Oryctolagus cuniculus: one gene and its partner. The protein of the gene in region 1 binds, or shares a complex with, the protein of each later gene. Links are inferred from orthologs where the notes say so. Each region holds a gene or a part of one and is shown on either strand. Other genes may lie near its edges. The genes, in order: CLTC and GTSE1.

What was found.
Region 2: the proteins of CLTC (region 1) and GTSE1 are in contact, whole or in part, in a crystal structure (PDB 6QNP), measured with the Homo sapiens proteins. The link is inferred for Oryctolagus cuniculus from reciprocal best matches to the Homo sapiens genes CLTC and GTSE1. Residues at the interface, in NP_004850.1 of Homo sapiens: Val50, Arg64, Pro65, Ile66, Ser67, Ala68, Leu82, Lys83, Ala84, Thr87, Gln89, Phe91, Asn92, Ile93, Lys96, Ser97, Lys98, Asp143, Arg144, His145, Trp164, Gln182, Leu183, Tyr184, Ser185, Arg188, Lys189, Val190, Ser191, Gln192; in NP_057510.5 of Homo sapiens: Ser686, Arg687, Pro688, Leu689, Ile690, Asp691, Leu692, Met693, Ser707, Pro708, Val709, Val710, Gly711, Gln712, Leu713, Ile714, Asp715, Leu716, Ser718.

Annotation. Positions count from the first base shown.
Region 1 is NC_091448.1:34,909,816-34,914,329, forward strand, and holds the start of CLTC (clathrin heavy chain 1), read left to right. Parts: upstream 1-1,648; 5' UTR 1,649-2,120; coding exon 2,121-2,162; intron 2,163-4,514. UniProt on the Homo sapiens protein: Clathrin is the major protein of the polyhedral coat of coated pits and vesicles. Two different adapter protein complexes link the clathrin lattice either to the plasma membrane or to the trans-Golgi network.
Region 2 is NC_091442.1:120,893,744-120,897,546, reverse strand, and holds part of GTSE1 (G2 and S phase-expressed protein 1), read right to left. Parts: coding exon 3,544-3,803; intron 2,093-3,543; coding exon 2,020-2,092; intron 1-2,019. UniProt on the Homo sapiens protein: May be involved in p53-induced cell cycle arrest in G2/M phase by interfering with microtubule rearrangements that are required to enter mitosis. Overexpression delays G2/M phase progression.

The DNA of each region.
Region 1 (4,514 bases):
TAGATATTCCACACCAAATATCTGAGTTACAATCAATTGCTTTTAGGATTCTAAATGTACTTACAATTACATGGTTTGTATGAAAATGCAAGACATTTACTAATAATTAAATATTGGTGGCCCATTCATAATATAGCTCTTGTATCTCAGACTGAGATTGAAAATGTAACCTGATTAAGCATCTGCAGTACTGTAATAAAACAATAACTCCTTTAGAATTTTTTAGAATTTGTCTCTTTCCAAAAAGGGTTTGAAGCAGCTACAATGAGACTGCTATTCAAATGCTGCAGAATCAAGTATCTGGCTTAATACAAGAGGAAAATTTTCAAGCATAGGAAGCCCCTCTTACAACATGGTGGCAAAGGCTTATTCTTTGCAGAACGATTTCTGGCTGCCCTGTTACCTGCCAGATTCTAGCCTCAGCATGGGAGGCAGTATTTTGGGAAAAGCACGAAAGCAACTGAAATGATTAAGCACATTTCTCACTCTAGGCAAAAACTGCTTCACACACAAAAAATTCCGCACCCGATAGGGCTGTGTGTTCCTTAATCGAAAAGGGCACAACAAATAATTATCGTGGACTTGAGTATTTTTCTCAAGGTCTTTCTGAGGGGGGAAAAATCGCATCTCTTTAAAGATGGAAAGCACGGGACTAAACTCTTCTTTATTGTACTGGGGCTGAACTGTTGCAGCTTAGACTTCGGTTGTCAGTCGATAATGAATGCCGCAGATACCTTAAAGCTGTCAGAAGACACGGTGCTCGGGCTTCCAAGCGCTCCTGTCCCCCTCTGCTAACCTGCCAGGCAAGGGCGAGGCGATCGCTCCGAGAGACGCGGCTAACACTTAATCCTCGTCCTCCGGGGAGGACCTTCAGGTTTTACCGACCACTCGGGGCGGAATTAGCTAAATCTTTGAGACGAAGTATTTGCCGTGGCTACAATGTCCTGCTCCAGTTCTGCTCGAACCCTTCAGGGTTATGTATGAGAACGCAAATTCTCTAGCACCACATACACGGAGTAGTAAGCTAGGCCGATCCGAGTCCGCCAAAATGTCCGCAGAAGTGGCGAGAACAGGCGAGCCTGAGGCATCTCACACTCGGCCCTCACTGTCCTTGGGCCTAAGGAACACCTGACGCGAGCGCCGCTTCCAGTCAGGAGTGCGCGCCTCGGGGTCGCCCCCCGTCAGCAGGCAGCGCGCAAGGGCGGCGAGGGCTTCCGACGCGGCCTCTGCGCCCCCTCCCCGGGCGGGGAGCAGCCGCCCACCGCCTCAAGGCGGGCGGGGGAGGCGGGCTGCAGCCAGCTGCCGGCGAGCGCAGCGGCGGCGCCGTTTCGCCGAGTCACCGGGCGGGCGGGCGGCTGGTCCCGTGTGCCCACGCCACGTCCTCTCCGCCAGGGACGCGGTCCAAACAGGGGACGCAGGGGCAAAGAAACGGCAGCCGCCGCGCCTCAAGGTGGCCCAACGGGCACCTCACTCCCAGGAGACGCCGCATTCTCCTAGAACTTGCGCCCCATTCTGGCAGCGTCAGCCGACCCTTCCCTACCAGCATCACGTGCACCTGGAAGTACGTGGGTGGGACCCAAAGCGCCTACGGAAATGACGTAGGTCGCCCCGAGTCGCATGATGTGGCAAAATGCAAAAAAAAAAAAAAAGGAAGGGGGGGAGGGAAAAGCAGAAGCCTGGAGAAAGTGATGAGTCTAGAAAAGTAGTCCCTGCTGTTCCTCTATTTCCCCGGTGTCGCATCAGGAAGCGAGGCCCCCAGCGCACTGCGCCCCGAATCCCTGCGCCTGGCCGCGGCGCGGCGCTCCGTGGAGGGGTACATAAGGCGGAGGGGGGGTGAGGCGACGGGGCGGAGTTTTGTCGCCGGGATCCTTCCGCAGGGCTCAGCCGTTTCCGGAGTCTGCGCTGCGCCCGGTTCCGCCATTGCGGCTCTCCTGGCCCCTGGAGCCTCCGCCCCCGACCCGAGCTCTCTCGTCTGCCTGCCAGTTTCCTGCGTCCCCGGAGAGTATCCTGCCGAGCCCAGCCTCCCCCCTCCCCTTCTCCTCCTCTCCCTTCGGAGAGCCCGGGCAGCCACTGCCCCGAAGCCCCAGTGACAGGAGGAGACTCTACCCCCCGACAGCGCCATGGCCCAGATTCTTCCAATTCGTTTTCAGGAGCATCTCCAGGTGCGGCTAGATCTGGGCTGCTGCGGGCTGTGGTGACGGTGGTAGGAAGGAAGAAGCTACGGTCTGGGCCGGAGCAGGAAGGGAGGGGTGTCGGTGTTTGGCGTAGGTGGAGGAAGGGGCGCTATCTTGGAAAGCTTAAAGGGTTAAAGGATATGGGGCTTGGGTGGAAAGGACGAGAGTTGGGGTGTAAAGGCCGGCAAGCCAGGCCTGACTCTGAGGGCCTTTCTGTCTTGCTTCCTGGAAGGCAAGAACTGCGCGTGTTATCCCCCCTCCCCTTCCCGTTTTATTCAGTTCATTCATTTGGATAGGGGAGTGGGAGAGGGGAATTCTCCCGAGTTTCTTCCGGCCGGAGCAAGCATTCTCATCATCCCCTGGGCCAGTGCAGGGCTGTCACCCTCCACTGCCCATCTCTTCCCTTTCCCCCCATCGTGTCTGCACCCGGGAGTTGCGGGGCGGGTGAGTTGGGGAGGAGCAACCTTTTTTTCTTCCTCCCTCTGCGGCTCTCAACTGAGAAAGGCACCTTTCCGGGGGCGGGGGGTGGGGGTGGCGGCCGTGGCTTGTCCCTTGCCTTCCCCGAGGCAGTAGGAACAGAAGGTCACTGAAGGAATAGAATGGGGGGACGCAGTTTTCAGGGCGCGGTCAGTCTTAGAGTGCGTGGGGTCAAGGTCCCTGGGGAACTCGCTTGGTTTTCCTTTCTTGATTTCTTTGGGGGTGGTGTGGCTCTTAAATCCTTTTGAGTTCAGAACGTAGCAAAGTGTTACCTAGAGGTTATCTGGGGGGGGGGGGGTCCTCAGGAGTCCATCCGGTGGTTGTGAAATGTGTGGCTTGAGTGCCTCCGACAGGATCGCATGGAATGGAACAGAGGCCCGGGGTTAAGGACACACCTGCCCTGAGTTGGTCTGTAACTCGTTTCTTCTTGGTAGATTCTAGAGTTCTTCCGTAAGTGCCTTACCCTGGAGGCAACATTCTTACGGTTGTCTCTTTGGGCAGCTTGCCAATGGCTAGCCTAGGCAGGTGATCATTGAAGGGCTTCGCTGAATTAGGCCTCTTTTTGAGCTTCTGATGTCCCTGGTTCACCAATCCTGGATTCTCATCAGGAATAATAAATTAACTTGGTTTCTTCCCGTATGTCCCCTTAAAGAAGCCTGCCCCAGGGCCATCTACGGCAGGACTCACTTCCTAATCCGAGGATGCAGTGGTTTAAAATGAGACTGGTTCTGGTAACCTATGGGATACTTTTCCACGCAAGGAAGTTTTATGTACTTTCCCCCATTGGTGTAACAAAAGAAAGAGTCTTGTCAATAGAACAGTTAATATTCAGGCTACGAGTAAAATAATTACATATTTCTTTACAGGCATCACATTTGCTTGCACTAGCAAGACATTATTTTCCTTTAAGGTTTGAAATGTAAAGAATGCTAAATCTTTAACCCATTAAGTAAGTTAAGTAGTACAGCTTTGTTCAGTCACCCAAAACTCATGTAAAGTAATGGAATATACCTTGGCTATAAAAACAGTTTTATGAAAGGTTAACACATGTTAGGTGTGACAGAACGGGCTTGGAAAAAGTTATTTTTTGTGCTCCATCCAAGTTTAATTACTGTGATTACCTCTGTTAAAAAAGGGGTGGTAAATGAGTGTGGAGGATTAGGAAAGTACTGTTCTTGCATGAGAAGGGGAAACCCAGGCTCTTCCTCGCACTAAAGTACATCTGAAATATCTTTCTGCAGACAAATGTTTGTAATGATAACCCAAGAGAAGCTGGTGTGGCTGCTGTTTATTTTACATGGCACAGCTATAGCCCACTGGTAAATCTTGCTGACCAGTGGTGGTTTGAGTAATCACTTTTCATTTCCATTAAAGAGGAGAGGATTGTTGAGTGATCCTCAAAATTGAATCCAACTGTGTCATTGATTGAAGACAGATTTGATACAGGTGTGGTTTTGAGGTTCTGTTAATACTTGAGTGAAGCCATTTTCTTAATAATTTGAAGATTTTAAGTACAAAGCAGCTTAAGAAGTATAATTGAAAAATTCTATTACTCATTTTTTTGGAGTTCTGTATCATGCTCAAACTTAAGCTTAGCTAATATGACTGTAGACTCCAGTTGATAGTGATTAATTGCACAGAGTTCAAATTACTAAATTTTAATAATATAGCTCTTCATATTTTTATTCCTTCCCTTTTTAAAATAAGGGCTATTTTTTGATTTTTTATTTGAAAGGCAGATTTTCAGAGAGAGCTTTCATCCGCTGGTTCACACCCCAAATGGCCACAAATGCCAAAGTTGTCAGAAGCCGGTTTTTTTTTTTTCTTTTTGACAGGCAGAGTGGACAGTGAGAGAGACAGAGA
Region 2 (3,803 bases), on another chromosome or scaffold:
ATCGAGTGGACAAGCGGGTCTCTGCCGTGGCTTCAGGTCCTGGCAGCAGATGTGAGCAGAGCAGAGGGGTGGAGTCAGGAGCTGGGCGCTTGGCTGCCCAGTGACTCGCAGTCCTCAGCAGCACTCAGCCCTCGTGACCAACAGGTCCTGCCTGCCGCTGCGTTTGGCTGTCGCTGATAACTAAGAGCCGGCACCCAGCTGACTGTTATTTGCTGGAGACTGGATGTTTGTGTCCCCCACATTCCTATGCTGAAGCCCCACCCCCTGAGGTGATGATGTTAGCAGACAGCCTTTGGGTGATTAGGTCATAGGGGCAGGGCCCTCACCATAGACTCAGTGCCCAACAAAAGATGTCGGAGGGATTCTGACCCTTCCACCACGCAGACACGAGGAGGCACCACGTATGCCACAGGAAGCCCTGACCAGCCACCGAGGCTGCCGCTCAGCCGCCACAGCTGTGAGAGATAAATGTCTGCTGCTTTAGCCGGGACGTGGTGTTTTTGTTACGGAAGCTCAGGACTGAAACCCTGCCTTAGACGAGTCGAGGATGTACTCTCAGCATGGAGCCCGCGGGTGACGTACAGGTGACGAGTCTGTCACTCGAGAAGGGCAAGTTTTCCATTCTTCCCACGAGTCTGAACAGACAGTAACTCACGTAACTGACAGACAGCAGGGGCAGTTACCCTCCACCCCACCCCCGCCTTTGCTGCGGCTGATCTGGATCACTGTCCCCTTCCTCACCGTGAGTGCTGGCAGCGCCACACAAACCCCAGTGACAACAAATAAAAGCACAGGTTGAGGAGCCTTTATCAACTCTTTGGGACTAGAAATGCTCCAGTTTCCAGAGTTTTGGGGGCTAGGGAATATCTGCACATACAAATGGGACCCATGTATAAACATGGAGTTCATTTAAGTTTCATGCATACCTTACCCACAGCCTGAAAGTCATTTTCTATACTATTTTTAGTTTGCCTGCACTTTGACCGTGACCTGTCCTGTGAGGTCAGCTGTGCAATGTTCTGGTTTGGTATCACATCGGCACTCACAAAGTTTCAGACTGTGGAGCATGTTGGATAATCCTCAAAGTAGGCCTGGGAGGCAGGAGCTAACTTCCCTTTCCACAGGCGAGAAAGTGAGGTGCGGGCACGTGAGGCATAAGGGGCTGTCTAGCTTGGGTTCATGCCTTCAGCTGCAGTGTGGCTGCTGCTATAAAGCACTCATCTGGCCTCACCCCATGAAGTGCACCCCAGCAGAGGAAATTAAAACCCGGAAGATTTGCAGACGGCTCACGCAGTGCACGGCGGAACCAGAGGTTCAACTCTCTGGCGTCTTAGACCAGTGATTATCCTGCCAATCCCATCCCTGCATAGTCCGCAGCAGAGTCCCGCCCCGGCCATGTGACTCCAGCGGGCATGAGTGTCCTTCCTTCGCCTCCACCCCCAGCTCCACACAGGATACTTTAAGGCTAAGACTGTGGGTGTGAGGTTTCCTGTGCCACTCCGTCTTTAGCAGGGACAGTCAGGGGAAGGGTCGGCCATGTGTGCATCTTCTTACGACCTGTACTATCTGTCTGACTCTGCTTGGGATCACCCACTGAAACAATGTCAGAAATGCTCAGTAACTTGCACTGACCACAGACCAGGAGATGTGGGTTCACACCTAAGTCTGCAAAGCTGCCCATGCCAGGAATCTTCGCCTGAGGCACAGGGTAGGTTCTTCTGGAAGCATTTACAAGATCCAGTCCCCGGGCTCCACACAAGTCCAGCTGAATGAGGTGGCCAGGAGGGGCCCGGCACAGGCAGCTTTAACAGTGCCGAAGGAGCTGCGATACACCATGCAGACGACTCAGGGTGGCTGAGGTCTACAGTGGGAGCTCAGTCCGCACCCAAAGGCTACTGCTAAGGTCAGGCCACAGGCCAGGGAGCAGTGAGCAGACCCAAGGAGGCCCTTTCAGGAGTCAGCAGGCACCTTAGGAGTTATCACAGTAACATGAGAAGGAAGCAGACCAACGGCAGTTACCTTCCAGCCGACACACAGGACTGCGGCCTTTGCGTCCGAGAGAACTTTGGTGTTGTACCATCCGGGGAACCACCTAAGACCGAGAGAGGAAGCGAGTGTGTCAGCCACAAGTGGGTCATGGGGCACTCCACTGTCTGGGGACTCACCAAGTGGGTAATTCTCCTTGAAATGGCTCCCCGTGCCCAACCTGCAGGGCAGATGGCACCACAGAGTACAGACCCCGGGCAGGAGGTCACGTGGGGAGAACCTGCCAGCAGCAGGAGTGTCAGCACGCATGCCCTACACAGGGAGTCCAGACACGGCAAGGCTGGCCTCTCAGTGATGGACACAGGGAAGAGTCGACAGGAAGCAACACAACTCCCATGGAGAGTCCCTTCCAGCGGAGCCTGTCTGTCACTCAGTTCCCACACTCCCGGGCGCCCAACGTCAGAAACAACACTGTAATGTGGCTGGATTCCCAGGCGAGCCCGAGTGTCCACAAAGACCTTAATCTTCCTTCTGTGACACTGCCAGGACAGGAGTACACTACACTGCGCACGTGCTGTTTCATGGCTGCCAAAGCACCTCAGGGTGCATGGCCCCATGTGACACTCACAAGGTGCAGAGAGGCAGGCTCAGAGGGCACGGGCTCACCAGTCACTGAGCCAAGACCTGCAGTGGGCTCCAGACGTCCAGTGTCCCCACCATGCCCTCTACAGCACAGCGCCACGTGAACCAGTTCACAATTGAGCACATCCCAAATAGCACGAAAGTCAGCCATAAGCACCATGGGCCAGGCCCCCAGTGCAACATCTTACAAAGTCAAACACACCCTGTGGAGCCCCCTGACCTCAGCTACACAGGGCCCCCTCCTCAGTAGGTGCTTCAAGGAGTCCAGCCCACTGCCCTGCAGCTGTCCCCTCTGCCCCAAAACCGCTGCACTTCTGGACCCCTCCTATATCAACCTGAAGATCAAAAGAGGTCAAGAAACCCCAAGCAGGATAAACACAAAGAAAATCTCCATCCAAATAATAACAGGAGCTGGGTTGTGGTGCAGCAAGTTAAACAACTTGGGATGCCTGCATCCCATACTGGAGTGCTGGTTCAAGTCTCAGCTACTCCGCTTCCAATCCAACTTCCTGCTAATGTGCCTTGGAAGCAGGGGACGACAGCCCAAATGATTGGGTTCCTGCCACCCATGTGAGAGACCCGGATGGAGTTCTGGCTCCTGGCTGTTATAGAAATCTGGGGAGTAAACCAGTGGATGGAAGATCTCTCTCTCTGCCTTTCAAGTAGTTGAAAATAAGTAAACATTTTTTTAAAAGTATACAATAAAGAATTCACTGGAAATGATGATGAAATAAAACCCTTCCTGCAGCCACAGAGTAGGCACATGTCACTTGAGGACTGAACCCCGACACTTCTTGTCCAGCACAATGGGAGAACACAGAAGGCCAAGACACAACCCACCCATGTTGCGGTCCACAAAGCTTTAAATGAAATTTCAATATTTAAAAAATGCATTAAAATTTCTCTATTACTTACCAATAGAAGACTTAGGAATTTTAAATGGATTTGTAGGAGTAGGCATAACCTTTGTTGCAGAATTTAGATGGGAATCTCGCCTTCTTATACTTCCAGTTTTATTCAGTTGAGATGATTCCGACAGAATAGAATTAGAGTCCAGCCTCGGGTCTCTACCTCCTGGGGTCTGGGGCTGGGTGGCAGCAGCTGTGGTGGGCACTGTGGGTTGCTCCGTGGTGCACTCAGCAATGTCGGTACCTGCTGCTGGCAGAGACTGGTGC